4 linked regions of the Saccharomyces cerevisiae S288C genome follow. Changing the gene in region 2 together with the main gene of any one other region gives a genetic interaction. Each region holds a gene or a part of one and is shown on either strand. Other genes may lie near its edges. The genes, in order: SSD1, PFA4, THR4 and HOM3.

Region 1 (9,185 bases), on a different chromosome or scaffold from region 2:
CCTTAATGAACCGACAGTACGACTTAAAAAACAAAAACAACGTCCAGGTGGAAAAAGCTGCCGCAAATGGTACACGGTTTAGATCAACAAGATCCAATACCCCTAATTACACATGAATGTGACGTTTCCTAAAAGAAGTAGCCTGTATAATATAGAGAGATTTTATATACTTTCTTAATGAATTAGACTGTTTCTACAAGTATTTGACACTGGAAAAAAAGAGAAAGTACATAGAGATTGGCCAAATATTTAAATCTACACAGTTGCCTATCGTTTATCGCCTTATTCTTCAGAAACATTTCATCAACTACTCTGGTGCATTATTTCATGTTAGTTACCATATATACCGGCCGGCCGCATCGGGGTTTTTTGATTGAAAAAATTGGTATATTTTCAGTACACATATAAATAAAACCCTCAATTTGCCTCTCCAACCGTTATAACTATTCCAGATCCTCTTTACCGAGCAAGTAGGCTAGCTTCTGTAAAGGGATTTTTCCATCTAATACAATGAGTGGAGTATCAAATAAAACAGTATCAATTAATGGTTGGTATGGCATGCCAATTCATTTACTAAGGGAAGAAGGCGACTTTGCCCAGTTTATGATTCTAACCATCAACGAATTAAAAATAGCCATACATGGTTACCTCAGAAATACCCCATGGTACAACATGTTGAAGGATTATTTGTTTGTGATCTTTTGTTACAAGCTAATAAGTAATTTTTTTTATCTGTTGAAAGTTTATGGGCCGGTGAGGTTAGCAGTGAGAACATACGAGCATAGTTCCAGAAGATTGTTTCGTTGGTTATTGGACTCACCATTTTTGAGGGGTACCGTAGAAAAGGAAGTCACAAAGGTCAAACAATCGATCGAAGACGAACTAATTAGATCGGACTCTCAGTTAATGAATTTCCCACAGTTGCCATCCAATGGGATACCTCAGGATGATGTTATTGAAGAGCTAAATAAATTGAACGACTTGATACCACATACCCAATGGAAGGAAGGAAAGGTCTCTGGTGCCGTTTACCACGGTGGTGATGATTTGATCCACTTACAAACAATCGCATACGAAAAATATTGCGTTGCCAATCAATTACATCCCGATGTCTTTCCTGCCGTACGTAAAATGGAATCCGAAGTGGTTTCTATGGTTTTAAGAATGTTTAATGCCCCTTCTGATACAGGTTGTGGTACCACAACTTCAGGTGGTACAGAATCCTTGCTTTTAGCATGTCTGAGCGCTAAAATGTATGCCCTTCATCATCGTGGAATCACCGAACCAGAAATAATTGCTCCCGTAACTGCACATGCTGGGTTTGACAAAGCTGCTTATTACTTTGGCATGAAGCTACGCCACGTGGAGCTAGATCCAACGACATATCAAGTGGACCTGGGAAAAGTGAAAAAATTCATCAATAAGAACACAATTTTACTGGTCGGTTCCGCTCCAAACTTTCCTCATGGTATTGCCGATGATATTGAAGGATTGGGTAAAATAGCACAAAAATATAAACTTCCTTTACACGTCGACAGTTGTCTAGGTTCCTTTATTGTTTCATTTATGGAAAAGGCTGGTTACAAAAATCTGCCATTACTTGACTTTAGAGTCCCGGGAGTCACCTCAATATCATGTGACACTCATAAATATGGATTTGCACCAAAAGGCTCGTCAGTTATAATGTATAGAAACAGCGACTTACGAATGCATCAGTATTACGTAAATCCTGCTTGGACTGGCGGGTTATATGGCTCTCCTACATTAGCAGGGTCCAGGCCTGGTGCTATTGTCGTAGGTTGTTGGGCCACTATGGTCAACATGGGTGAAAATGGGTACATTGAGTCGTGCCAAGAAATAGTCGGTGCAGCAATGAAGTTTAAAAAATACATCCAGGAAAACATTCCAGACCTGAATATAATGGGCAACCCTAGATATTCAGTCATTTCATTTTCTTCAAAGACCTTGAACATACACGAACTATCTGACAGGTTGTCCAAGAAAGGCTGGCATTTCAATGCCCTACAAAAGCCGGTTGCACTACACATGGCCTTCACGAGATTGAGCGCTCATGTTGTGGATGAGATCTGCGACATTTTACGTACTACCGTGCAAGAGTTGAAGAGCGAATCAAATTCTAAACCATCCCCAGACGGAACTAGCGCTCTATATGGTGTCGCCGGGAGCGTTAAAACTGCTGGCGTTGCAGACAAATTGATTGTGGGATTCCTAGACGCATTATACAAGTTGGGTCCAGGAGAGGATACCGCCACCAAGTAGCTATATAGAATCAAATCTCATACATAATTTAAAGAACGAGAGTGCAATGTGATGATTGTGATTCCTGATCCTATGTCACGGACGACGACTTGTATCACCTTGAATTTTCTGACCAAAGGGGCCGAGTCGCTTCACGAGGGGATGAGAAAGGAAAAGAAGGGAAAACTAAACTTATATAACGCAGGTGTGTCTTTCTACCATTGCCATCAAGTTATTAAAGGCCACGAACAGGAACGCTAGAGACCTGAGTTTGTCATTTGTTTAGTTCAAGGATTAAATAAACAATCCTTCTACAAATAAGTCCTTTCTTTCACCATCGTCTTAAGACCACTGCCTCCAACGAAAACTAACCTAAAAGAGTTTAGATCACGAGTATTTTCGCTCTTTCCCTCCTTCCCCTGGTTTTTTCTCGTTAGTTCTTTTCATTTAAAAACTCTTCTCTTGTCAAGAATTTAAAAGACGAAGAGTCCAACACCGACTGATTTTCTAACAGCAAAGGAACGAAGTTTTGCCGTGCAAACAATAATTTCTAAATTATAATTTTGAGCCTAGCTGAGAAATAGGAGAGATTATATTTTAGAAAGGTAAGAAGTTTTTCTGTCATTCCTTTTAGAATATTTGCTACGTTCTAACATTTTTTGTTACTCAAGCGCATTTTCTGCAACTTCCCTTATAAGCTATTTCCTTTTTTTGGGACCGATCCTTTCTTCTGTCTTTGGTAACCTAAAAACCGGAATAGTCAAAGTTATCTGCATAGTCTTCTTGCCAGGCTTATTTTCGCCATACCATTTTTCTGGTACCCTAAACATTTTGGTCTTATTTTAGAACAGCTGGTGCCTCGTTTTTCCGCATTAGGCGCACTTTTTTCATAGCCACTATTCTAAAAGAAACAACTTTTTTTCAAAGGGAAATCTAAGTTGCCTGCACGAAGAATAAGACAAGGGTTCATAAACGTATAGTATTTGCCAAGTTCCATCTTTTTCTTTGTCACTTTAATATCGCAAAACAGAACACCAAAAACCTTTCAGCGCAAAGATTTGGCCCAATTATTCCATCTTTATACACTATGTCTAAAAATAGCAACGTTAACAACAATAGATCCCAAGAGCCAAATAACATGTTTGTGCAAACCACAGGAGGTGGTAAAAACGCCCCAAAGCAGATTCATGTTGCACACAGACGTTCCCAAAGTGAGTTGACAAATTTGATGATTGAACAATTCACTTTGCAGAAGCAGTTGGAGCAAGTTCAAGCACAGCAGCAACAGTTGATGGCTCAGCAACAGCAATTGGCACAACAGACAGGACAATACCTGTCAGGAAATTCTGGCTCTAACAATCATTTCACGCCTCAACCGCCTCACCCTCATTACAACTCAAACGGTAATTCACCTGGTATGAGTGCAGGTGGCAGCAGAAGTAGAACTCACTCCAGGAACAACTCCGGATATTATCATAATTCATATGATAACAATAACAATAGCAATAATCCTGGGTCTAACTCACACAGAAAGACGAGTTCACAATCCAGCATATATGGCCATTCCAGAAGACATTCTTTAGGTCTAAATGAAGCGAAAAAGGCTGCTGCGGAAGAACAAGCTAAAAGAATATCTGGGGGTGAAGCAGGCGTAACTGTGAAGATAGATTCTGTTCAAGCTGATAGTGGCTCAAATTCTACTACAGAACAATCTGATTTTAAATTTCCACCACCACCAAATGCTCATCAGGGCCATCGTCGCGCAACTTCAAACCTATCACCTCCCTCTTTCAAATTTCCTCCAAACTCTCACGGGGATAATGACGATGAATTCATAGCAACCTCTTCAACGCACCGCCGTTCAAAGACAAGAAACAATGAATATTCTCCAGGCATTAATTCCAACTGGAGAAACCAATCACAGCAACCTCAACAGCAGCTTTCTCCATTCCGCCACAGAGGATCTAATTCAAGGGATTACAATTCCTTCAATACCTTAGAACCTCCTGCGATATTTCAGCAGGGACACAAACATCGTGCCTCTAATTCATCAGTTCATAGTTTCAGTTCACAAGGTAATAATAACGGAGGTGGACGTAAGTCCCTATTTGCACCCTACCTTCCCCAAGCCAACATTCCAGAGCTAATCCAAGAAGGGAGACTAGTAGCTGGTATATTAAGAGTTAATAAAAAGAATAGATCGGATGCCTGGGTCTCTACAGATGGCGCTCTTGATGCGGATATTTACATTTGCGGCTCCAAAGATCGTAATAGAGCACTTGAAGGTGATTTAGTCGCGGTAGAACTATTAGTTGTGGACGATGTTTGGGAGTCCAAGAAAGAAAAGGAAGAAAAGAAGAGGAGAAAGGATGCCTCTATGCAACACGATCTAATTCCTTTGAACAGTAGTGACGATTACCACAACGATGCATCTGTTACTGCTGCAACAAGCAACAATTTTCTATCTTCTCCCTCCTCGTCTGATTCGCTAAGCAAGGATGATTTATCCGTCAGAAGAAAGAGGTCATCTACTATCAATAATGATAGTGATTCCTTATCATCTCCTACCAAATCAGGAGTAAGGAGAAGAAGTTCATTGAAACAACGTCCAACTCAAAAGAAAAATGACGATGTTGAAGTTGAAGGTCAGTCATTGTTATTAGTTGAAGAAGAAGAAATCAACGATAAATATAAGCCACTTTACGCAGGCCATGTCGTTGCTGTTTTGGACCGTATCCCTGGTCAGTTATTTAGCGGTACATTAGGTTTGTTGAGACCATCCCAACAAGCTAATAGCGACAATAACAAACCACCACAAAGCCCAAAAATTGCTTGGTTCAAGCCTACTGATAAGAAGGTGCCATTAATTGCAATTCCTACAGAATTAGCTCCAAAGGACTTTGTTGAAAACGCTGATAAATACTCCGAAAAGTTATTCGTTGCCTCTATTAAACGTTGGCCAATCACATCTTTGCATCCATTTGGTATTTTAGTTTCCGAACTTGGAGATATTCACGATCCTGATACTGAAATTGATTCCATTTTAAGGGATAACAATTTTCTTTCGAATGAATATTTGGATCAAAAAAATCCGCAAAAAGAAAAACCAAGTTTTCAGCCGCTACCATTAACGGCTGAAAGTCTAGAATATAGGAGGAATTTTACGGACACTAATGAGTACAATATCTTTGCAATTTCCGAGCTTGGATGGGTGTCTGAATTTGCCTTACATGTCAGGAATAACGGAAATGGTACCCTAGAGCTGGGTTGTCATGTTGTTGATGTGACCAGCCATATTGAAGAAGGCTCCTCTGTTGATAGGCGTGCGAGAAAGAGGTCCTCTGCGGTGTTCATGCCACAAAAACTTGTCAATTTATTACCACAATCGTTCAACGACGAACTGTCGTTGGCCCCTGGCAAGGAATCAGCCACGCTGTCGGTTGTTTACACTCTAGACTCATCTACTTTAAGGATTAAATCTACTTGGGTAGGCGAATCTACAATTTCCCCCTCAAACATCTTGTCTTTAGAACAATTAGACGAAAAATTATCTACTGGAAGTCCCACTAGCTACCTCTCTACTGTACAGGAAATTGCTAGATCATTTTATGCTAGAAGAATAAATGATCCAGAAGCTACATTACTTCCCACCCTGTCCTTATTGGAAAGCTTGGATGACGAAAAAGTTAAGGTTGACTTGAACATCCTGGATAGAACTTTAGGCTTTGTTGTAATTAATGAGATTAAAAGAAAGGTCAACTCCACTGTTGCAGAGAAAATTTACACCAAACTTGGTGATCTAGCTCTTTTGAGAAGGCAGATGCAACCCATTGCAACCAAGATGGCGTCATTTAGAAAGAAAATTCAAAATTTTGGTTACAATTTTGATACCAATACGGCGGATGAATTAATCAAAGGGGTGCTAAAAATTAAAGATGACGATGTTAGAGTCGGAATTGAAATTTTACTGTTTAAAACCATGCCAAGAGCTAGATACTTTATTGCTGGCAAAGTAGACCCGGACCAATATGGGCATTATGCCTTGAACCTACCTATCTACACACATTTCACAGCGCCAATGAGAAGATACGCTGATCATGTCGTTCATAGGCAATTAAAGGCCGTTATCCACGATACTCCATACACCGAAGATATGGAAGCTTTGAAGATTACCTCCGAATATTGTAATTTTAAAAAGGACTGTGCTTATCAAGCACAGGAACAAGCAATTCATCTATTGTTGTGTAAAACAATCAACGACATGGGAAATACTACAGGACAATTATTAACAATGGCTACTGTCTTACAAGTTTACGAGTCCTCCTTTGATGTATTTATTCCAGAATTTGGTATTGAAAAGAGAGTTCATGGAGATCAACTACCTTTGATCAAAGCTGAGTTTGATGGTACCAATCGTGTCTTGGAATTGCATTGGCAGCCCGGCGTAGATAGTGCAACTTTTATACCAGCAGATGAAAAAAATCCAAAATCCTATAGAAATTCCATTAAGAACAAATTCAGATCCACAGCCGCTGAGATTGCGAATATTGAACTAGATAAAGAAGCGGAATCTGAACCATTGATCAGCGATCCATTGAGTAAGGAACTCAGCGATTTGCATCTAACAGTACCAAATTTAAGGCTACCATCTGCAAGCGACAACAAGCAAAATGCTTTAGAAAAATTCATTTCTACTACTGAAACCAGAATTGAAAATGATAACTATATACAAGAAATACATGAATTGCAAAAGATTCCTATTCTATTGAGAGCTGAGGTGGGGATGGCTTTGCCATGTTTAACCGTCCGTGCATTAAATCCATTCATGAAGAGGGTATAATCTCTTCTACCAATATCGTCATTGCTGTTTTTCTTGTTTTTCACTTTCGTTCTTTGGATTGTGCTTCACCCCTCAGTATCCCTTCCCTTTGTTTTTATTTCCTGCGAACATTAACAACTGCATGAATTTTGTACTTCTCCTTTTAATCCACGTTCCGGTAAGGCATCATCCAAATTTTTTTATTCGACCTCGTTAAGTCATATATTTTTTCCCAAAAATACATAAAACAATAATGCAGCCTTCTTTTCAATATTTACAACTTTTCAATTTATATTGTCTTTTGTTATTTATACTCTTATATATTAAATTTATTCCGTTACTAAATACCCTTTTGCTGTACAAATATCATCAAAGAGAAGTACTGAAAGCTTACTTTTTATGCGCTGGGTAATTTTTCCGGAAACAATAACGAAATCATCGTCGAGCAATTTTGCTCGTACTTCAGAAACTACTGCGTAAACATTTGAGGTCGTACAATAAGTAGATAGAAATAAATAAACCAATTTTTCGTCAGCGTTTAATCTGTAGCCAAAGATTTGTGGTATTCTCACAGTTTGAATAATATTCAGCTACTTCATCAAGTAGTTTTTTTCAATAGGAGATTCACGGTTCAATAAGTGCATTGATTATGTTCGACCAATTAGCAGTCTTTACCCCTCAAGGTCAAGTACTTTACCAATATAACTGTTTAGGAAAAAAGTTTTCTGAAATACAAATTAACAGCTTTATATCCCAGCTGATTACTTCCCCAGTAACTAGAAAAGAAAGTGTTGCAAACGCAAATACAGACGGATTTGATTTCAATCTTTTAACAATCAACAGCGAACACAAAAATTCTCCTTCATTTAATGCACTATTTTATTTGAATAAGCAACCAGAATTGTATTTCGTAGTGACTTTTGCCGAGCAGACTTTAGAGCTTAATCAAGAAACTCAACAAACACTTGCACTGGTGTTAAAACTCTGGAACTCATTGCATTTAAGTGAATCCATTCTAAAAAATCGTCAGGGCCAAAACGAAAAGAACAAGCATAACTACGTCGATATTCTTCAGGGAATTGAAGACGACCTGAAGAAATTTGAGCAATATTTTAGGATAAAATATGAAGAGTCAATAAAACAAGACCATATCAATCCAGATAATTTTACCAAAAATGGATCAGTACCCCAATCGCATAATAAAAATACCAAGAAAAAATTGAGGGATACAAAAGGTAAGAAGCAATCTACAGGAAATGTTGGTAGTGGGAGAAAGTGGGGCCGTGATGGTGGCATGCTTGATGAAATGAATCATGAAGATGCAGCCAAATTAGATTTCTCATCATCCAACAGCCACAATAGTAGCCAAGTAGCTCTAGACTCCACTATTAATAAAGATTCTTTTGGGGATAGAACAGAAGGAGGCGATTTCTTAATCAAAGAAATTGATGATCTTTTGTCTTCTCATAAAGACGAGATAACTAGTGGGAACGAAGCTAAAAATTCTGGATACGTCAGTACAGCTTTTGGATTCCTTCAAAAACACGTTCTAGGTAACAAAACGATCAATGAAAGTGATTTGAAATCTGTATTAGAGAAGTTAACACAACAATTGATAACCAAAAATGTAGCACCAGAGGCAGCAGACTATTTAACACAGCAAGTCTCACATGATCTTGTAGGCTCAAAAACTGCAAATTGGACCAGTGTTGAGAATACTGCTCGTGAATCTTTAACAAAAGCATTAACTCAAATATTAACGCCTGGTGTATCCGTTGATCTCCTCCGTGAAATTCAGAGCAAAAGAAGCAAAAAGGATGAAGAAGGTAAATGTGATCCCTATGTGTTCTCTATAGTTGGTGTTAATGGTGTTGGTAAGTCAACAAATCTTTCAAAGCTAGCGTTTTGGTTACTGCAAAATAATTTCAAGGTCTTAATTGTTGCTTGTGATACGTTTAGGTCTGGTGCAGTTGAGCAACTAAGGGTCCATGTTGAAAATTTGGCACAGCTAATGGATGATTCACACGTTCGTGGCTCCAAGAACAAAAGGGGTAAAACTGGTAATGACTACGTTGAACTATTTGAAGCTGGTTATGGTGGATCTGAC
Region 2 (6,953 bases):
TATGATATCTTGTGTTTGGCTGACACTTTTATAACCCATACCACAGCCTATTCTAATCCCGATAAAGAAAGATTGAAAGATTTACTAAAATACTTCATCTCTTTGTTTTTTTCTATTTCTTTCGAAAAAATCGAAGAATCGTTGTACTCCCATAAGCAAAACGTGTCAGAATCTAGCGGATCTGACGATGGCAGTTCTATTGCATCAAGGAAGAGGCCCTATCAACAAGAAATGAGTTTACTTGATATTTTACACAGGAGCAGATATCAAAAGCTAAAGCGTTCTAATGATGAAGATGGCAAAGTTCCCCAGCTCTCTGAACCACCCGAAGAAGAACCTAATACCATTGAGGAGGAAGAGCTCATCGATGAAGAAGCTAAAAATCCGTGGCTAACTGGGAATTTAGTGGAGGAAGCAAACTCTCAGGGTATTATCCAAAATCGCAGTATTTTTAATCTATTCGCTAATACGAATATTTACATATTTTTCCGTCATTGGACAACGATTTATGAGCGGCTTTTGGAAATTAAGCAAATGAATGAAAGGGTCACAAAGGAAATCAACACAAGGTCGACAGTTACTTTTGCCAAAGATCTAGATTTATTATCGAGTCAACTTTCCGAAATGGGACTAGATTTTGTTGGTGAAGACGCGTACAAACAGGTTTTAAGACTGAGTAGAAGGTTGATTAATGGGGATCTTGAACATCAGTGGTTTGAAGAGAGTTTGCGGCAAGCTTACAATAACAAAGCGTTTAAACTCTATACAATTGATAAAGTCACCCAATCGTTGGTAAAGCATGCTCATACCTTGATGACTGACGCTAAAACTGCGGAAATAATGGCTTTGTTCGTTAAAGATAGAAATGCCTCCACCACGAGTGCGAAGGACCAAATTATCTATCGCTTGCAGGTGCGCTCACATATGTCCAACACAGAAAATATGTTTAGAATAGAGTTTGATAAAAGAACTCTGCATGTTTCCATTCAATATATTGCACTTGATGATTTGACACTAAAGGAACCAAAGGCAGACGAAGATAAATGGAAATATTATGTAACATCGTATGCTCTGCCACATCCAACAGAAGGCATTCCGCACGAGAAACTGAAGATACCATTTTTGGAAAGGCTCATCGAATTTGGACAAGATATTGATGGAACAGAGGTAGATGAGGAGTTTTCCCCCGAAGGCATCTCTGTATCGACATTGAAAATTAAGATCCAGCCTATAACCTACCAACTGCATATTGAAAACGGGTCTTACGATGTTTTTACCCGTAAGGCTACTAACAAATATCCTACTATTGCTAATGATAATACTCAAAAAGGAATGGTTTCTCAGAAGAAGGAGTTGATATCAAAATTTCTAGACTGTGCAGTTGGTTTGAGAAATAATTTAGATGAGGCTCAAAAATTAAGTATGCAAAAAAAATGGGAGAACCTAAAAGACAGCATAGCAAAGACGAGTGCTGGAAACCAGGGAATAGAGAGTGAAACCGAAAAAGGTAAAATTACGAAACAGGAGCAGTCGGATAATTTGGACAGCTCTACTGCAAGTGTACTGCCTGCATCCATTACTACTGTACCACAAGATGATAATATAGAAACGACTGGGAATACTGAATCTTCAGACAAGGGGGCTAAGATTCAATAAGTAGTTTTAACTAGATTTAGAACAAAAATCTTTAGTACGACAGGGTCTTTCTTCTGATGTGTACCTTTAATTAATGTCAACGATATAACATTGTAATTTTAAAATTCTAAGTGTTTTTGAAGCTTTTTAAGACACATCGATCTTTCCATAAAGGAAGAAGTGATAACATGCAGTGGTTATATTTGTGTACTCATACACTGGTGCATGAATCTTTTTACACGTCATTAGCATAGTATGTAATCGAAAGGACACTATTTATAAGGGACAGTTTATACATACATATACTTGATATTCCCATGAATGAGTATTCTATTCCATATCAACATCCACTCCAAAATCGTCTAGTGATTCACCCCAGTCGTTGTACCACTTCTCACGAGAAGCATGTCTGCCATTTTGAGGAAGTCTGGTCCTTATTAGCTGTTCGCCACTTTCATTACGCATCTCTATTGTTGAGCTGCCATGATTGAAGACGGTGTTTGTTTTACCTCCATCTGGTGGCCAGGGAAGTGAAAGGATGTGGTCTTCCAATGAGGAGTTAGCCTCATATTTTGAAATACCGTTTTTTGGAAAATTGTTCCCATCTCCCGTAGGAACACCATATGGCCATAACCATAAATGAATGGGACCAAGGTACAGTAATGCATTAGTGTACAAATCAAAATCGTAAGGGAAATTTACAAGTTCATCAAAACGTGGCCTTTTTTTTGTCAAGTGTTCCTCAGCATCCTTTTTATTTTGAAACGACCTCGACTCTGGATATATTCTCCAAGTATTATCAATTAATTTCTGAGTTAATCTTCCGGAGTTGAACAAAGATTCTAGCCGATCCATATCCCACGACTCAATTTGAGATCTTCCATTCAAGATTTGATTGAATAAACATCGTAGGAAAAGAATTGTTATCGTTAGTAGGACAAAAGAATTTAAAGGACTCGATATTGTTAAGAAAATCAGTTCTGATTTTTTGAAGAAGTAGCCAGGCAAGTGCCTTTGTTGCCAAATAAAATATATCCGCTTAGCTTGTATGCAAAATAAAACACTAGTCGTCACTATGATCCAAAATAAGAATCTAAGGAAATGCGGATAGTTTGCAAAGCCGACGCAATTCATCGTCCACGGACAATGATGATCCATCATTAGGACGCATTGATTGCAGGTTTTACAATGATGTGAACGTTCTGGCTTATAACTTTGGCACTTCTTACAGAAATTCCGCCAGATATCAGGGGGTGGTTTGTAGTTGGGCAAAGGCCTTCCTGGATTTGTGCAGATGGCCAAGTAATAGGAGAGCCATATCATTGACAAACAGAACTCAAATGTTATTTGTTTCGGAACTGACAAGAAATTGGATAAAATAAAGTAGTGTGCACCATAGCCTATAAATGAAATCAGAAACGTTGGTATAGCAATTCCTAACCAAGGCCACCTTAACTTTACTGGCATGGTTTAACGATCAACTCAGTTTTTAAAATTCATGTTATACACCATCACCACAATGTAGGGACGATAATTATCGTATCTCAGATCCGCTATTTTTCATAAGCGCGTAGTAAGAGAGGTAGGTTTAACAGGATAATAAAAATATACATGAGACAGCCAATAAATAGTGGAAATAAGCCGTATTTTAAATTGAGAGCTCTTAGTAAGAAAAATGTTCCTCTGAGACGCTAAAGTCGTGTATATTTCATATGAGAAAGTGCACAAATCCTGCTTCCCTTCTATCTGGGAATTTCTTTTCTATATTTGAACATATTATTGTAAGGGCCTTTTTCTTTATTCTCTTCTCACATATAAGAACCATTTTATTATTTTAACTTTAAAACTACTTTCTATATAAATCCTACGTTTTTTCCAAATATCTAGGAGACAATCCCGTTCTCCATCTTTATATGGACTAACTCATAACTATTTAATAAACCTCTCAAGTGGCACAATGCCGCAATAACAACTAGAAAATGGAAAAGTTGGTGAGAATGACCCCAAATATCAAATTTACCGGGGCAAATCTTTTCAGGAAACCGCATTCCATAAAGAACAGCGCCAATTATATATAGGACACCCCCAAGTAATACCCAAAAGAGCTGAATTTGGGTCCAAATTTCTGAAAAACTATAGCAGTAAAGGCCGCTGAATATTGGAATAATTGAGGATAAACCAAAACAAACAAATAGCCCAGCTCTGTAAGGTCTCCACTCTCTTTTCCGAAACTTATCTTTTAGTGACACAATACTACACGCGATCCCAAAGCTAACGGTAATAAGCGCAAATAGGCAAAATAGGGAAAATTTCTCAAAATAGCCGTAGTACAAAATACTGACCATTGACGTAACAATCAATATACAAATACCAAGGTAGTCCAACTTATTTCCTAAGGTAGCAATTCTTAAGGAGTGACTCTTTAGACAATGAAAGGAGCTACTCAATATTAAACATGCAAACGCCCCCGAATAAAAGAGGTCGATTACCATATGATCTAGCCATGTAGTTGTTGCAAACACTTTGATAGTAGATTTATCTAGCAACAGTACAGTGAAGAACCCGAGAGCAGGAATTAAATGTGAATAAATATTGACACTTTCATTATGCAAATAAAACAAACTTTTAAAAGTTTCAATGAAGCTACTAGTTTCTTTCACGTATCCATGTAAAATAAAATCATTGTCTCTTTGCCATTCCGGAATTTCATCCCAACTATATAGCCTTCTTAGTACTTTTTTAGCTTTAGCGACCTCTGCGGGATTTGCGGATGTTTTCCCTGCAGCTCTCTTCTTCAGCTCTTGCACACTCTTAGTCCTTTCTAATAAAGTTGACATTTGGAATGATTCTTCTCCAACATGCAGCATAATTAAAACGACGGGAAATTTAGTACATTTGGCTCAAGGAACGCTGACATAAATACTATTTCTAATCTACTATTCGAAGAGATGTTGGATTTCTAAAAAAAAAAGAGCTCAACAACGGAAGACCGCCTATTAACCCCGAGTGTCTGTTTTTTAGTATACTCGAAGCAAACAAGAAAAGTTTGTTACTTAATTTCTGGCCTAAACAAGGTAGTGCTACCCTAGAGGAAGTACGATATCAGTACACTTTTGTATTTTTAACGAATTATGGTATTCTTTAAAATATTTAACATGCTATCGAGTTTTTCTTTCTAAAATGCGGTTTCAAAATTTGAGTCCGCTTTCTATGGAAAATATGAATGAGGCGAACGTGCTTGTACCATAGTCAGATTTTAACCCGTAGGTGAGAGCCTGAGGCTTCTGTAAACCACCTTGGAAACACATACGGGTTATAAGATTTTAACAAACAATCAGTCTCCATACTCATCCTAGGATCTCTTCTTCATTTGATGAATAAAGGATTCAAACTTCAGAAAGTTATTCAGCGTATATTGGCTTTCCTTTAATCTAATGCCCCAAGCCATCATAAATAGCCATATTACTTTGAAAGTGCTCATCCGTATACACTGCAACTTTTCTTCTTTTCTCTTTAGCCGATTATAGCTCCTACCTGTTTTTTTTTTCTTCTTAAGATTATTTATATTCCAATTTTATCATCCGTATTGTTTCCAATAGCGTTCCAGTGATCAGTTATATACTTCGAGAGGCAGATAACCTTTCTTTTTATAAGTGTTTATCAAATTTAAGTCTGCAAGCTATCATAAGACGAGGATATCCTTTGGAGACTCATAGAAATCATGGAAAGCACATCAGGAGAACGTTCCGAAAATATACATGAGGATCAAGGGATACCAAAAGTAATTCTGCCCGCTGATTTTAATAAATGCTCTAGAACTGACCTAGTGGTGCTCATATCACGAATGTTAGTATCGCTGATAGCAATCAATGAAAATTCAGCAACAAAGAAATCTGATGACCAAATTACTTTAACACGATACCATTCTAAGATTCCTCCAAACATATCAATCTTCAACTATTTCATACGACTGACAAAGTTTTCCTCTTTAGAACATTGTGTGCTTATGACATCACTCTATTATATCGATTTATTGCAAACTGTGTATCCTGATTTTACGCTTAATTCGTTGACTGCCCATAGGTTTTTATTAACAGCCACCACAGTCGCAACAAAAGGCTTATGTGATTCGTTCTCAACAAACGCCCATTATGCAAAAGTTGGAGGAGTACGATGTCACGAATTGAATATACTGGAGAACGATTTTTTAAAGAGAGTAAACTACAGAATCATTCCGCGGGATCATAACATTACGTTATGTAGTATAGAGCAAAAACAGAAAAAGTTTGTCATAGATAAAAACGCATTAGGGTCTCTCGATTTGGATTCTTATTCTTACGTTAATCGTCCAAAAAGTGGATATAATGTTCTAGATAAATACTATCGAAGAATAGTTCAGCTGGTGGGTTCCTTTAACGCTTCACCTGATAAGAGTAGAAAGGTTGATTATGTTCTCCCGCCAAATATTGATATAGTGAGTGAAAGTGGCTCCCAAACTACTCAACTAAAGGGGTCGTCATCACCCAATTCTCACTCTTCACAAAAGCGATATTCTGAGGCAAAGGACGCACATATCTATAACAAGCGATCAAAGCCAGATTAATGATTTTTCGTGGGGTATTATGAAAGCAATCATGATTGAGCAAAATTAAAACTTTCCATTTGTACATATATATATATATATATATATATATCTGTGTGTGTATAATAAGCAATTGGCCATCATTTGGCTAAAAAGTTCAAGATTTCAGGTAGTATATAAGAGAATAACTTCCCTCTTTTGCTAAAGAAGGATATGTTCTATTTCAGCCTTTTTGCATCATAAGAGCATAAGCGACAGAAAACACTTCGAGATGAGCTTGAGAACTCCATTTCAATTAACTTGATAAATACATGTAGATTCATATCATCACTGTTCTTTTCAGATACTAGTTTCAAAACTTCCTTGACAGAACCATTTCATGTTCAATAATGAAAATTACTTTCACATGTTTTAGTGGAAAAATACTGAACAATGAAATTTCAATATCGCATATAATAATTTTTGTTATCAAATATATATTTTTCGGAAGTCATATACATTAAATAATTAAAACATTATTTTTAAAAATTAAAAAAATATATTTTAGCAAATAGTTTTTACTTTTTTTTAAATGCAAAATAAGTTCACGTGATATTATTAATAATATTTTACCCAAAAATATGAGGGCATCGGAAAATTTTTCAGTAATGAATATTAATGTTCATCTGAAGATAGACGAAATAGGAACAACAAACAGCTTATAAGCACCCAATAAGTGCGTTATGACTTCTGAAAA
Region 3 (7,337 bases), on a different chromosome or scaffold from region 2:
CAATGCCTATGAACAATTTTCTAGATGAATTCAATTTATTTGATTCAATCATTACCATGATGAAGAACGACCCATGTTGCGTCGAGGATTATGAGCCAATCGTCGAAAACCTGAACCGTATATTTCAAAGGACGTTTAATGATGAAGAACATAGGAAATCAATGGCTAACTCCCAGCTTTTTTGGGAACGATTAAGAGACACCTTGGAAGCAATGCTGTTGCCAGCGTCGTTAAATGAGAATAGCTCAATACCGTATACAAGAACAGTGAGGGGCCTTATCTTAATGATGAGAAACCTTGCCGCTGAAAACCAGGAAATACCCCAAAAGCTTTTACTACAAAACCTCGTAATTCGTGGTTTTCTGCATGCAACTAGTGAGTATGTCGTTGACACTCCGCTAATCAAACATCTATACATCGCATGTTTAACGTGCCTTTTCAATATACAGCAGAACTACTCTACAGTGGATATGACTACTTTTCCAGCTCTTTTACAATTTCTTCAATACCCTTATGGGATCAAATTGGAAGACGGTGAAGAAGAAGAGCATTTCTGGCTACCATATTTATTTCTTTTCAAGACGTATCTCAACAATGATGAATTTTCCAACGAATTTTTCAGGGATAATGATACACCCCAGAAAGACTATTATTGTGTTAGGGATAGAATATTTTTCGATATAGTGACAGCCAAATTCATCCAGGATCAAGAGAATTCCTTTTTAATTGAGAAGGGCAGAAACTATCTGGATGATTCAAAATTGGAAATAACTTCTATTGACCTATCTGTCTTAGAATGTATTAGCAAAAGTCTTACAACTGCTTCTTTTGGTAAATACCTCAATGGGTTAGAAGAAAGACAGCCAGGAAAATTCACCACTTTGTTGCAGATATTGCAATTGGTTGTAACGAGTAAAGAAGATTGGAATACCTATGAGTTGACTGCAATTATGTCATGGTGCTACCCCATTCTGCAACGTCTTGCATGCAAGGATATTCCTGCCTTTTTCAATAAAAGTTGTAACGATTATGCTCCTTCAGTTGCCATCCAATTACACTCCACTTTACTTTCTTGCCTGGACATAATTTCTGACTTGTGCAAATTCAATCATGTTAGAAAATTCTTAATTTCGTATGACTCTGTGAAAATATTGGTATCTCTCTTGGATACTTTCCAAAAGAATTTGTTGAGGATTAATTTTTTGAAAGGAAACGGTGATACGGTGAATGAAATTAAAATCACAGATCATGAAGGTAACAAAATCGAGGACCGGTTATTAATTTTCAACCGTGTTAATACCAACGAATCCTTTATTAGGGCTGATAATTTTCCCCATTGTAAATTAGTAATAATCGAAATATTGGCATCGTTAGTGTATGCACATCCTGAAATCCAAGATCAAATAAGAGAATTAGGTGGTCTTGCATTAATTCTTTCCAATTGTGTCATCGATGATAATGATCCGTTTATCAAGGAAAGATCTATTGTTTGCTTGAAGTTTTTGTTAAAGAATAATGCCAAGAATCAGGAATATGTCAAAAAAATGGAAGCTCAAGACGTTGTTCAAGACGATGCATTGAGCAAAGCTGGGTTTGAAATATCAGTTGAAAAGGGCGGGAAAGTTAGATTAGTATCTAAAGAAGAAGACCCTGGGAACGAGAATTCTGAGATTATTAGCATAGATGAAGATTAATTTTATGGTTCCTTACTCTCGCAATCATGATTCACTTTGATTAACATTAAGGATAATCGTACTTCATACTCTCTATTAATTATAGAATTCTATATGTTATATAAGATAAAATATATTCATTAAAAAGGAAGATCTTATAATTTCATTTTAGCAAGTTCTTCTTCAATAGCGTTTTTGACCAATTCAACGTCAGCTCTTTCGATGAATTTTAATTTCTTCTTTAATGTGGATAGTTTCTTCAATTCCTCAGGCAAAACATCCTTTTCAAATGAATAATTGGAAAATCCAGACAATGCATTGTTTACAGCATCGGCAAATTTAGCTGGGTGAGCGGTAGATAGAGAAATGTATTGGATGGACTTGTCATTATCTTTTGCAATCAATCTTTCTGTGGCGCAAACACCGACAGCTGTGTGAGGATCTAAGATGTAATGTTTTGGATTTACAGATGATTCGTAGATCTTCTTGATTGTTTCAGATGTTTCTTCATTGGAAACTCTTTCTGATGTAAAGTCCTTTGATGCGCCTTCAATGATGGATTTGTCAACTTGGAACTTACCGTTGGTCTTCAATTCCTGGAACCAATTGTTGACGATTTCACCGGCTTTCAAATCATCACCATTAGCTAGGTATTCACGAGCTAGGTACCATAGTAGTCTTTCAAAGTTAGAAGAGATTAAGATATCCATTGCTGGGGATAAAGTAGCAGCAACCTTGTCTGATCTTTCGTATAGACCAGATTTCAAAAATCTGTCCAAAATGTCGTTTTCATTGGTAGCGATGGCCAGTTTTTCAATAGGCAAACCCATTTTCTTGGCAAAATAACCGGCCAATATATCACCGAAGTTCCCACTTGGCACAACGAACTTGACCTTCTTGGAGTCCTTACCGTTGGTGGCTTGGAAGAATGAATAAAAGTAATAGGTCATTTGGGCCAAGATTCTTGCCCAGTTGATGGAGTTAACAGCACCGACGTTGTGTTTAGAGTTGAATTCTTTGTCACCGAAAATAGCTTTGACGATATCTTGACAGTTGTCGAAAGTACCGGTAACAGACAAAGTCTGGACGTTTTCATCTGGAACGGTGGTCATTTGTTCTTCTTGAATTGGGGAAATTCTACCGGTTGGATATAAGATGAAAACGGAAACGTCCTTTTTGCCTCTTAAACCGTAGATGGCTGCAGAACCAGTGTCACCGGAAGTAGCACCGACCACAGTGATTTGCTTTTTCTCGCCTTCAGGTAAATTGGCGTTGGTTCTTTGTAAGAAGTATTCAAAAAGATTACCGACAAATTGTAAAGCAACGTCTTTGAAAGCGTAGGTAGGACCGTGGAATAATTCTAAAATGTGCAAATTCTCCTTGTCACCAGTGACGTTTTGCACCAAGGGGGTGACTTCATCAGAACGGAAAGTAGAATAAGATCTCTTGATCAAGTCCTTTAGATCAGCATCTGGAATCTCTTCTTGGGCAATGTATAGTCTCATGATAGCAAAGGCTAAGTCTTGGAAGGAGAGCTTTGACCAATCATTGAAAAGAGTGGCTTGGTCCACTTGTGGAATAGTTGGTGGAATGAAAAGACCACCGTCAGTGGCCAGACCTTGAATGATAGCCTCTTCAAAAGAGATTGTCTTTGGAGAGCTGGATCTGGTAGATCTGTAAACTTGGGAAGCGTTAGGCATTGGTGTGAGGGATGGTGGCCGTCTAAGAACAAATATTTGCTGCTATACTACCAAATGGAAAAATATAAGATACACAATATAGATAGTATTAAAAAAACGTGTATACGTTATTGATAGAAATGACTATACATTTTGTCGAAAATTTTTCATTTTCTTCTATTTCCTCGTTGTAATGACTCTTTTGTTCGCACGGTCACTACTCACGAGGAGGCGTGCAATAATTGCAGAAAGAATGAGATCATACAGTGATGTTATAGTCTTCCTTGGGAGTACAGTAGTGAGATATTGCCCATTAGTGACCTGTCATTGTTGTTGTTACTGTATATGTCACTCGTTCTTGCAGCATCTTCATTGAAGTATTGGTCGCCCTGCAGCACAAGCTCGTTTTGCTTGGAAGACCATAAGTAGTGAGTCAGCGTTTCTCTTGGATGCAAAGACAGTTCGTGGAAAAACTGGTATTTTTGAGCACTAGAGTTCAACTGCAAGGCAAGCTTTGTGATTTCACGTAGTTTTGCTGTGTCTTCAGCATCTGTTTCTTCCTCTTTTTGTAAATTTGGCTGGGGTTGAGGCTGGTGGAGAATGTGCGACACATCTACATCCAAGGTGGTAGCACCATAGGTGGTATCTTTGGAAAGATCAATTGTATAATCTAGGATGATGGGCGGTAGGGGTGATACCAGTTTGTTCACGGTTTGCACAACATTCATCAAGGGGAGGTGCGCGGCGTTTGTATCCAATACCTTTTGTAAGAGTGAATCTAGCTTCACTTCACCCAATTCGGGCTTATCCTTTGGAGTACTTCCCTCGACGCCATCATCGTCACCAGCACCGTTTTTATTGTTATTCTCGTTACTGCTGTCTTCGGCATCGTTGGAACCATCTTGAGCCTCTGTTTGTTCCGTAACAAACAGATTGTTGATCAAAATGTACTTGTAGATCGAATAAACCGCGTCATTAACGGAGCCCGTTTGCATACCTATCAAGGTAGCTAAGTTGGGCGAGTACTGTACTTTTCCACCGTCGACACCCCTCAACTGGATGGTTATACTGCATCGCAAATTATCCTTGCCTTGCCTCTTGATGTCGATACCATCAAACTCCACAACGTTGTTTTCATCGTAGTTCCATTCCAGTGCGTCTACAATTTCCTCCCTGGATTCTGCCTCTGCACTGTCCTCATCCTCGCCGTTGTCGTTATCGCCCATGGTGCTATCTTGATCATTGTATTCGGGTTGTTGCAGATTCAAAGGAAGGCTCAATGACGAATCGCGTTTCCTCTTCTTGCCCATGCCCAGCGGTTTCAGTCTTTTAAAGTCGACCGCGACACCTTCCAAAAACTCACTAAATGGGTGCTTTCCGTTTGCGGACTCGTGCAGAAGCTTACCTTCTATTCTCAGTGTCCATGTAGTCTTGCCTGAGTCCGCTGGGGTGCCAGAATCGCTGCGAGGGCTGCTTTCCGTAGTGTTGTAGACGTAAATCCTCAGCATCTCTTTATTGGGGGGATGGTCCTTGGTCTTGGTGTTTGTAGGTAAATTGATGGACGTATCCAGCCTCCTTCTTGTCAGATACAAATCTAGTCTGGAATCCATTTCTATCAATTTTTTCAAATCTGCCAGATTGGAGACCTTATCATCGGGCAGATACGTGGGGATATAAGCATCCGTTGGATATGTAACAGGGACCGGATTGGTCTGTGTTACCATTTCTATGAGCTGTTTTTCGTGCTGTATTACTATACGAAGCTGCCTTGTGAACTGTATATTTGTTGCTTTTCTTTCACTCTACAACGTTTTTTTCATTCTATTTAAAAACGCGGTGAAATTTTACCTTGTAAGAACGTCTATTAATGTACAGAAAAGATACATAAGGGAAAAGACTATGTAAGAGAAAGAAGTAGTTCATGTAGCGTCGCGTTCAATTTCTTTTAGCAAGCTGTAAGAGCCTTTGTGCTGGGTCGTTATTTTCTTCTCTTGGAATCTGGTTCGTCCCCGGAACCCGCCATGGAGCCCTGGCCCAGCATCTGCTCTCTGACCATAGCACGGATGTACCTTTCCAACTCCTCCTCAGCGTTGTCTCCCGTAATGATCTGTTCCAACTGCCTCCTGCGTTGCAGAGTGGCCTCATCGGCTCCTTCCTCAGGGTCATTTTCCAAGGTGTATCTCACGTTGTCCTTGAACTCTTCCAGCAATTTGCTGTCGATGACACCCTCACCCTGCACGCCGTCCACTCCGTGAACATCGGCCACGCCGGACTTAATCCTCATGTACTCGATTAGCTCACCATCTTCACCGTTCTCGACGAACGAGTCGTATGGCGTTTGGCCCTCCACATTCCTGATAGTGAAGTCTCCACCCAGCTCTTCCACGATCAACCTGGCAGTGGCCACATCCTCCACATGGTGCAACGGGGTATCGCCGTCGTTGTCCAACACATTAATGTCTCCATTGTACTCATTGCACATTTTCTTCAGCAAATCCAGGTGGCCGTATGCGGCGGCAGCATGCATTGGAGTGTAGCCGTTAATGTCCTTGGATTGCGGGGTCATGGCGCCTTTACTCTCGCGGAGGATATGTTCCACTCGGTCCAAATTACCATCTGAAGCAGCCACCCATATATTAGCGTTCATTTTGTCGTCACAACACCTATAATCATCGATTTTTGTCACCTGCAAACTCTTCTTGTTCTCAATTATATCAAAGGCATCGAAAATTTTTGGGGTTATGACAAGGAAAAAAAAAGTATTACCCGAAACTTAAACAATGAATGGTATATACTATATTGTAAAGTTCTAATAATATATATAAATATGTATATAGATATATATATAGACCTAGGAGCTCTTTGCCCCTGTCTTTGACCACGGTGGAGCGGACGCCCATTCCCTATTGTATATCTATCAAGGGCTTGCGAGGGACACACGTGGTATGGTGGCAGTTCATAAGGTCAGGTACAACGTCATAATGATACTGGGCCCTGAACAGACACCAAACGAAAAGACAACGTTGGACAACTGCGGTCTTGCCCGTAGAAACTTGGTGTTGCTCAAAGCAGTCCACACAAACTGCGACAGTTGGAACATGAACAGATATCCTCTAACCCTTCTGAAAATGGCGAACATGGCCATTTCGTGGAACACGGCACTCAAGAAAAAAGTAAATAATGTAGCTTGGCTCTTGCTCAAATGCAATGCGCCCATGGAGCTGTGGTACACGTGTCTTAGTAAAAATTTGTGAACGGGGACGTTCCAGATTCTGCTAAACTCTTCAAACGAAACGCAATTCCACCAGTCGCCGTAGAAATATCTGTCCGCAAACCTGGTCAACTCCGCCACGCAATTCAATAAAGCGTCCCATATCATGTAAAACGTGAGCATGTACAGAACAGTGAAGCCCGGAATCATGTCGAAGAGCAGGTGGAACCACTCTTGCGTGGCGGGGATCCAGCCGCCGAAGGTGGGCGTGTTGTGGAACTGGATACAGCGCATGGCCACCGGGTGCATGAAGAACTGTGCCGTGACCATCATGAGGAAGATGGTGCCAATGATGGCGCACACCTTCTCCAACACATACCTCCATCTGATGCGCGACGTTCTTGGGTAGTTGATCTGGTACACGAGGACGGGGAACAAACAGAACATGAAGAAATTGCTGCAACTGATGTTGTTGGGGAAGTCGTTATCCTTGGTCTGGTAGTTCAATTCGAAAAGGCAAAAGTCGCAACTTTTTTGCAGAATCTCGCGGGTCTCTGGGGACAAAGATTCCTTGTATTTTTGCAACTGTTTGGAAGAGTACTCGAGTTCCTGCTTTATGTCCCAAAGATACCCGTTGTAAAAGGCAAACGAGTGGCTCTTCATAACAAACACCACGGAGTGCAGGAACAGGAAGATTCTCGTGACCCAGTTGAAATCAAAGTAGTAGACGTAAATGGGGAACGTCACGGGGATGAAAGCCAACTCGAAGATGCT
Region 4 (7,186 bases), on a different chromosome or scaffold from region 2:
CCTTTTTGGTTAGAACTGTAACACTGTTAATAATGGACTCATATTTAAGTATGTAAAGTAATCCTAGATATTTTTTCCCCCAACAGGTTACCCTACAATGCAATTTAAAGGCATAATAGAACATCTAATAGAAGTGGGTGATTATAATGAGTAAGAAGACGTAATGATCATAAAACAAAATACTAATAAGCTATGGTGCAATGCAAGATCCCAATATTTGCCAGCATTGCCAGTTGAAGGATAATCCAGGCGCATTAATTTGGGTGAAGTGTGATAGTTGCCCGCAGTGGGTCCACGTGAAATGCGTGCCTTTGAAACGCATTCACTATTCAAATCTTACAAGTTCTGAAGTTCTGTCTTATCCAAATTCTGCGAAGCAAATCAAGAGCTACCGTTGTCCTAATCATAAGGAAGGAGAATATCTTACCGCATACGCTCTCATCACACAAAAAGGAAAGCGGCAAAGGAATAAAGAAAACCCTGAAGATAGTCATATAAATAAGCGGTATAATTTCAGAAAGAAGAAATTACTTGACTATATCGCTTTGAATGAGGGTGAATCGAAAAGGGATAAAATGAATCACCCTCATAAGGAGAGTTTCATGAAATCTTTTGAAAAATGGAAAAATGGCTCAAATATTATAAACGCCGCTGACTTTGCTGAAAAGTTTGATAATATAGATGTGCCGTACAAGATCATCGATCCACTGAATAGCGGAGTATATGTACCGAATGTGGGCACAGACAATGGATGCCTCACAGTTAATTATATCACCGAAATGATAGGCGAGGATTATCATGTTGATGTAATGGACGTTCAATCACAAATGAATGAAAATTGGAACTTGGGATCTTGGAATGAATATTTTACAAATACTGAACCAGACAGGAGGGATCGAATAAGGAATGTTATATCATTAGAAGTCTCTAATATTGAGGGATTAGAACTAGAGAGGCCCACTGCAGTTAGGCAGAATGATCTTGTTGATAAAATTTGGAGTTTCAATGGACATTTAGAAAAAGTCAATGGGGAGAAGGCGGAGGAGAATGACCCCAAGCCAAAAGTGACCAAATATATTTTGATGTCTGTAAAGGATGCTTATACGGATTTTCATTTGGATTTTGCCGGTACCTCTGTTTATTATAACGTTATCTCAGGACAGAAGAAGTTTTTATTATTTCCACCTACCCAATCAAACATAGATAAGTATATTGAGTGGTCTTTAAAAGAAGACCAAAATAGTGTTTTCCTCGGTGATATTCTTGAGGATGGTATTGCGATGGAATTAGATGCTGGTGATTTGTTTATGATTCCAGCTGGATATATTCATGCAGTTTATACACCAGTAGACTCTTTGGTATTTGGAGGCAACTTTTTAACCATCCGTGATTTGGAGACACACCTTAAAATTGTGGAAATTGAAAAGTTAACAAAGGTTCCTAGAAGATTTACCTTCCCGAAGTTTGATCAAGTGATGGGTAAATTATGCGAGTATCTTGCGCTTGATAAAAATAAAATCACTAGTGATGTCAGTGATGGGGATTTGCTTTCCAGGACCACTAATTGCGCAATTCAATCACTTCATGCATACGTTATAAAACCTGAAGTTAAGTACAAGCCGTTAAATTTCACTTCAAAGAAGCATTTAGCGAAAGCTTTAGCCGATCTTATTTCGTAAAATTTCTTCTTGTCCGCCACGTTCTTGTATCTTTTATTTCATCCTATGCTCTCGATGAATGAGATCTACTTTAGCAATTGATACAGTATAACCCTGACATTACATTTAGGGAATAATCGCCCCAATATAGGTTACAAAACATTAATATATATGTAAATATATGTGCGCGTATATATATATATATATATATATAAAGGGAAAATTAATATTCTATCATTAAAGTGAAGAAGAAAGGTGGATTTAAATTCCAAGTCTTTTCAATTGTTCTAAACGTTCATCAATGGCATGTTCAAATTGGTTTGAAGTATTTGTCCGCTCACTTAGTAACTTGGCATGAATACATTGTAGCGCTTTTATGGAGTCAGATTCATTGATAACGCAGGATATGTTTATTTCATTTGCCCCTTGAGAAATCATTTCAATGTTGATGCCTTCTTCAGCAAGAGTAGTAAACATGGTACCAGCAATGCCGATGTATTGTTTCATATGTTTACCAACTAATGAAACAATAGACAACTTCTTTGTGATATCAACAGAACCTAAAATTCTCAATTTTTCCTCAGCTTGTCTCAGAGATTTTAATGAGTCTGCATCTGGAATGGGCAAAGCCATCGAAACATGAACTTCAGAAGTAGATATTAAATCTACGACTAACTTGTACTTATCCAGGATGGTAAATATTTGAGCTAGGAAACCATGGGATAGGGTTTTCTTATTGGAATGAATGTTGATGACGAAAATGTCATTTTTGGTGGTGATAGCAGTGGCACCTCTCTTTCTCTTTTCATAGAAAGATGAGGATAAGTTCTCAGGAGGATGTGGTGGAGTAGATTCACCCTTCTTTGCTACATTATCTGGGTAGATAATGGTACCGTTACCTAATGGATTTTGAACATTCTTGATTCTAATAGGAATCTTAGCCCTAATAACTTGTTCCATCGTAAAAGGATGTATAACTTCGGAACCATAATATGTTAATTCAGAAGCTTCTTCTGGAGTAACACTGTCTAGCAAACGTGCTTCAGGAACCTTACGAGGATCAGCAGTAAATATACCATCAACTTCCTTCCAAACTTGTAGTTCATCAGCATTTACAGCAACTGCTATCAAAGCGGCACATAAATCGGTATAGCCACGACCAACACCATTCAGAAGACCAGTTGGAACTAAACCAAAAAACCCTGTAAAGACTGGAACGATACGCTCTTTAGCACTTACAAAGGGGGCCAATTTTTCTTTCAATGCTTGAACCAGGAAAGTGTAGAAACTGTTATCCAAAGCGCTGGCACTGAAATCAGAGGGAACAATGTGGCTCAAATCCACATATTTGGCCTTACAGCCACGGTCATTACATAAAGCAGTCATGAACAAACAACTCAACTTCTCACCACATGACATCACCAGATCTACTGTACGTGAACTCACTTCACCCAAAACTTTTGAAGCATTTAAATATTTCTTGACCAGTTCAAGTTCTTTATTGGTATCATCCACTAACTTGGCTTGCAAGGCAGGATTGAGAATGAAGCGGTCGGCATTATCGATATGGTCTTGTCTGATAACTTCGATAATGTCTTGAAATTCAGATTCTTGCGAAGCCAAATCACAACATTTCAAAAGACGAGAAGTGGTACCTTCAGCCTTGGTGTATGAAGAACGGGCGGAACAAACGACAGCGACATTATTGTTTGGGCCGTCAGGTTTAGAATAGTGCTTCACAATGTCATCCACTATTTGGACGGGAAATTTACCGACAGATGTACCACCGAACTTTTGCACGACCCAGTTCGAATGACTTGATGTAGGTTGGAAATCCATTGGCATGTAAAAGTTAAAAAAAATGAAAGCTTCTGTGATAAAATGCGATAGCTATGTGAGCTTAAGCGATGGAGAGAGTATTGGCTACACAAATATCCTTCAATGAGTAGAGCACTGTTAAAATAGAAATAAAATAATTATCCAGCAGTATTCTTATATATGGATATTATACATTATTTCTTCGAAGCTAAAAGAATCTCTGGAGAAGACTGCGTACGGAAAGTGAAAAAAAAAAAAAGTGATGATGAAATTTTCGTTTGCTAGTGAAAAAGAAAGAAAAGGTGAGTCATGGGCCTGAAAAATACACGTGGTTAGAGCCACAGTAGAGTAAAAAGTTGATATTAGGGGAGTTCTAGAAAGAAAAGGATCCTGTGAGACCAATGACAGTGATTGTAAATTGTGGGAGTGATATTTGATGTTACTATCAAATAAGGCCTCAGCCTCTGAATATGTTCACCTAAAAATTGTAGAAGATTCAATCGCGAGCGGCTGGCAAGTTTGGGCATGCATCGAGTATTGCCGTATATCGAAACTACCTTATAAATGTGTTTCTGATATGGCACTTTCAAAGTTTTCCTGGGCCTGTTCTTGGCTTGAGAAATTTGGCAATCATAACAAAACTCTTAGTATGAAAAGAAATTGTAGGACGAATATTTATTAAGACATATGCAAAGAAGAACAAACTATAAATGCCGGTCATTTACTAACTTTATGAAATCCTGTGTATACAATATTCCTCTAGCACAGAGTGTTTACGATAAACCTTGCCGATTGAATCGATCAGCTAACCGGTGGTTGGTAAGCCTACATAAGCCTTGAACGAATCGTAAATTAGCCATTGGAAACTTGTCAAAGTACCGATCATGACAATTCTCACCATTAACCCATTCCACAACCCAGTAAAGCCAATTTTTTGATATATTCTTTTAGAGGCTACAGACATGGACTCGTTGGCCTTTCTTTCGCTATTGATCTTGGAAACCATAACGTCTGCAGGATGTGAGACTGCAGCACATAATATACCTGCCAGATAACCACCTACAAAACTGACTGATATTTGCTGTAATGCGTTCATTTCTTCTTTCTTTTTAGGTAAAACACTGTATATTTTTTGAACAATTTTTTCGAATGAGGTAAACTTACACATTGTGTAAGGAATCTGTCTGCACCATAGGGGAACAATACCTTTATAAAATGCTTTCATACCTCCACTTTCTGCATACATTTTTTTCCATCCATCAACAACGTTATTGCAAAAGGGCGGCATAGTAGTCTGCTGTTTCACTTTAATAGCTTCAAATGGGCACAACATGATATCAGCGAGGAATTCAGCGGTCGCTGAGGCCATCAAGTACACAGTGACACCAGGACTTAACCAACTAGAATACAAATGCTTGAAATACTCATAACCACCATACTTACCTGCACCTTGTAGCGAATATCCGACGAATGTAGCACCAAACCCAGTGTATACTTTCTTCCAGCCTTCATTAGCTATAATCTTACGGAACCCTTGTAAGTTTGAAGTATACAACTTGGGATTGACCTGTAGCCTACATTTGACAAGATCTAGTGGAGTGATCGAAGAATGTGTTGGACCGCACGCAATTATACCACCTAAGGTACATGTGGCATAAAACTCTTTCGTATATAATTGGATTTTACGTGGTTGTTTATTGGACTCCATGCTTTACAACTGTCAATGAGTCCGTTCTCTTTTTCCCTTACTTTATTTTTTTAGAATTAAAACAATAACAGAACACTTTCAGTTAACAATGTGTCATTGACTGCCTGGAAAAAAAAATAAAATATCTATAAAACACAAGCAAAATGAAAGTATATTTGGTAGGTCCCGCTGTATTTATATCAAATGTAACAGGGTATGCAGAAAATCGATATATCCATTTTCCTTTTTATTAAGCAAAATGAAACTAAAAACAAGGAATAAACCTAAAAAAGATCTCCTTATTTCGCTAATACCCCTGAAGTCCAACTTTTGGTTAGCCGAGATCTTAGCCGAATGAGATTGTGAAATGCAACCCAAAGTGACCGTTGTTGCTAGCTAGCATATGAATGAATCTAAGAACTGGAAAGGCAAGTTAAGGGCCAAAAATAATGACTTGAATATTTTGCAGTATCTACGTTGAATTAAAGTATTCTTCGTAAGCGGTACTTTTCACTTGCTACTTGTCACCTTATTACCTATGTGCTGAGAGGGTAATGGTACGATGTTCCTTTTTGACACAATGCGTCTTTTCCCTATGCTGTAACAAAAAAAACAAAGGCCGAGGTTCGGATTTCTTAGCAGATCACGTGCTGACTTTTTGGAATACACCGTTAAAATTCTCACACGGTTAGTATTTACATTTTTTCAAGAATAGGGTTTTGCCGCTTACCTTGATATGCGGGCGATTTTGCGGGATTTCTGACATCTAATAACTTAGTAGTCATTGAAGGAACAAAGTTTTAGTCTTATTCGGATGTTTCCCTTCTTATTTTCGAAATGAAGCTTTTTGGAGAGATGGGGATAGGTGGCTTTTTGTGCCTTCCTCGAATGTCTAGCCGAGTCTTGCGATGGAAGGGCTAGACAGCATGTTTTAGAGATGTAGTAAGTTATATTATAATCATATTATAATTGCCTAAATATAGACGTATATCATATACAATAGCAAAAATACATAATTACGAACATAAAAATGAAAATAACTTTGGTCAAACAGCGTGAGCTGTCAAACGTATAAATCTTAAAAAACGTGTATTAAGTATGAGCTAAGAAGGCGCTCATCAATAGAAAACCGGATTAAAAACATCGAAAATTATTGAAAAAATATTAAGTGTAGTGTGGAAATGAATGAGTAGAAAAAAGATAAATTAGAAAACAGAACATCAACTTCGTAAATAGTAAAACGCTAAGCCAGACTAGGTAGAACTGACTTTGCATACCTCTCTTGGCGGCAGTAAGCAGATTAGCTGATTTAAATCACTGCAAGTAAGGAACATCGCTCTTGTTTCTGTTCATGACTGTTCTATGAGCACCAAAGTAGAAAACGAAAATGAAAGCGAAAATACTCAAAAAAATCTCTAAATCTTGCATTGTAGTGTGTACTGTGTAGTAAAGCTATTGTTTGTTTTTATTATTTCTATGTAGAATTCTGTAAAAGGACGAAAAGAATGTTTCCAAGCAGTATGTCTACCTCTGTCGTTGTAGAAGGGATTCCTACTTCTTTATATACAAAATGCACATCGGTAGAAATATCTAATTCTCTATTTAATTGAATGCATAAGGGGTACCAAAAAATCTCTCTTCACGTCTTATAGCTGAACAGTTATCGGATATAGGCTACCACATAAAAGAACAGGGATGTCCTAATACAGCAATCATTTTTTTTTTCATTACGTAAAAAGTAAAGTAAACCATCCATTCTCCCTTCTTTCAGTCAAATGCCGCAGTCCCTTACATTTCAAACTGAAGCGTCGGGATGAGACTGTAGAAAGAAGTAGGAGTAGTATGCAAAAAAAAAAAAAAAAAAAAAATATAACCTCTGCCGGAAGTGAAGGCACAAAAATAGCTCTCTCTAAATGGGCGGTGGAAGGGTGTTCAAAAGTAAAGAAATATAGGCGCACTTCTGAAGTCATCGTAGGTGAATAAGCAAGTCTTTATCGGCATGTTCGGGGTTTTTTTTACCAAT

Evidence for each region.
Region 1: mutations in PFA4 (region 2) and SSD1 together harm fitness more than expected from each alone (negative genetic interaction), as found in Saccharomyces cerevisiae (4 studies listed by BioGRID, with this or other methods).
Region 3: mutations in PFA4 (region 2) and THR4 together harm fitness more than expected from each alone (negative genetic interaction), as found in Saccharomyces cerevisiae (3 studies listed by BioGRID).
Region 4: mutations in PFA4 (region 2) and HOM3 together harm fitness more than expected from each alone (negative genetic interaction), as found in Saccharomyces cerevisiae (2 studies listed by BioGRID).

Annotation. Positions count from the first base shown.
Region 1 is NC_001136.10:1,043,554-1,052,738, reverse strand, and holds SSD1 (mRNA-binding translational repressor SSD1), read left to right. Parts: upstream 1-3,346; coding exon 3,347-7,099; downstream 7,100-9,185. Other genes in the region: HDA2 (Hda2p), read left to right, coding at 1-116; sphinganine-1-phosphate aldolase DPL1, read left to right, coding at 511-2,280; SRP101 (signal recognition particle receptor subunit alpha), read left to right, coding at 7,728-9,185. UniProt on the Saccharomyces cerevisiae protein: Can suppress the lethality due to deletion of SIT4, and partially the defects due to BCY1 disruption. Is implicated in the control of the cell cycle G1 phase.
Region 2 is NC_001147.6:319,893-326,845, forward strand, and holds PFA4 (palmitoyltransferase PFA4), read right to left. Parts: upstream 3,103-6,953; coding exon 1,966-3,102; downstream 1-1,965. Other genes in the region: transcriptional regulator SIN3, read left to right, coding at 1-1,656; IZH2 (PAQR-type receptor), read right to left, coding at 3,519-4,472; PHO80 (Pho80p), read left to right, coding at 5,357-6,238; exosome nuclease subunit RRP6, read left to right, coding at 6,940-6,953. UniProt on the Saccharomyces cerevisiae protein: Mediates the reversible addition of palmitate to target proteins, thereby regulating their membrane association and biological function. Palmitoylates several amino acid permeases.
Region 3 is NC_001135.5:212,733-220,069, reverse strand, and holds THR4 (threonine synthase THR4), read right to left. Parts: upstream 3,374-7,337; coding exon 1,829-3,373; downstream 1-1,828. Other genes in the region: CTR86 (Ctr86p), read left to right, coding at 3-1,694; RSC6 (Rsc6p), read right to left, coding at 3,625-5,076; YCR051W (uncharacterized protein), read right to left, coding at 5,331-5,999; YCR050C (uncharacterized protein), read left to right, coding at 6,298-6,606; ARE1 (sterol acyltransferase), read right to left, coding at 6,309-7,337. UniProt on the Saccharomyces cerevisiae protein: Catalyzes the gamma-elimination of phosphate from L-phosphohomoserine and the beta-addition of water to produce L-threonine.
Region 4 is NC_001137.3:254,456-261,641, forward strand, and holds HOM3 (aspartate kinase), read right to left. Parts: upstream 3,504-7,186; coding exon 1,920-3,503; downstream 1-1,919. Other genes in the region: JHD1 ([Histone H3]-lysine-36 demethylase), read left to right, coding at 201-1,679; PIC2 (Cu/Pi carrier), read right to left, coding at 4,282-5,184; YER053C-A (uncharacterized protein), read right to left, coding at 6,478-6,591. UniProt on the Saccharomyces cerevisiae protein: Phosphorylates aspartate, the first step in the biosynthesis of amino acids that derive from aspartate (the aspartate family of amino acids), including methioinine and threonine, the latter of which is a precursor to isoleucine.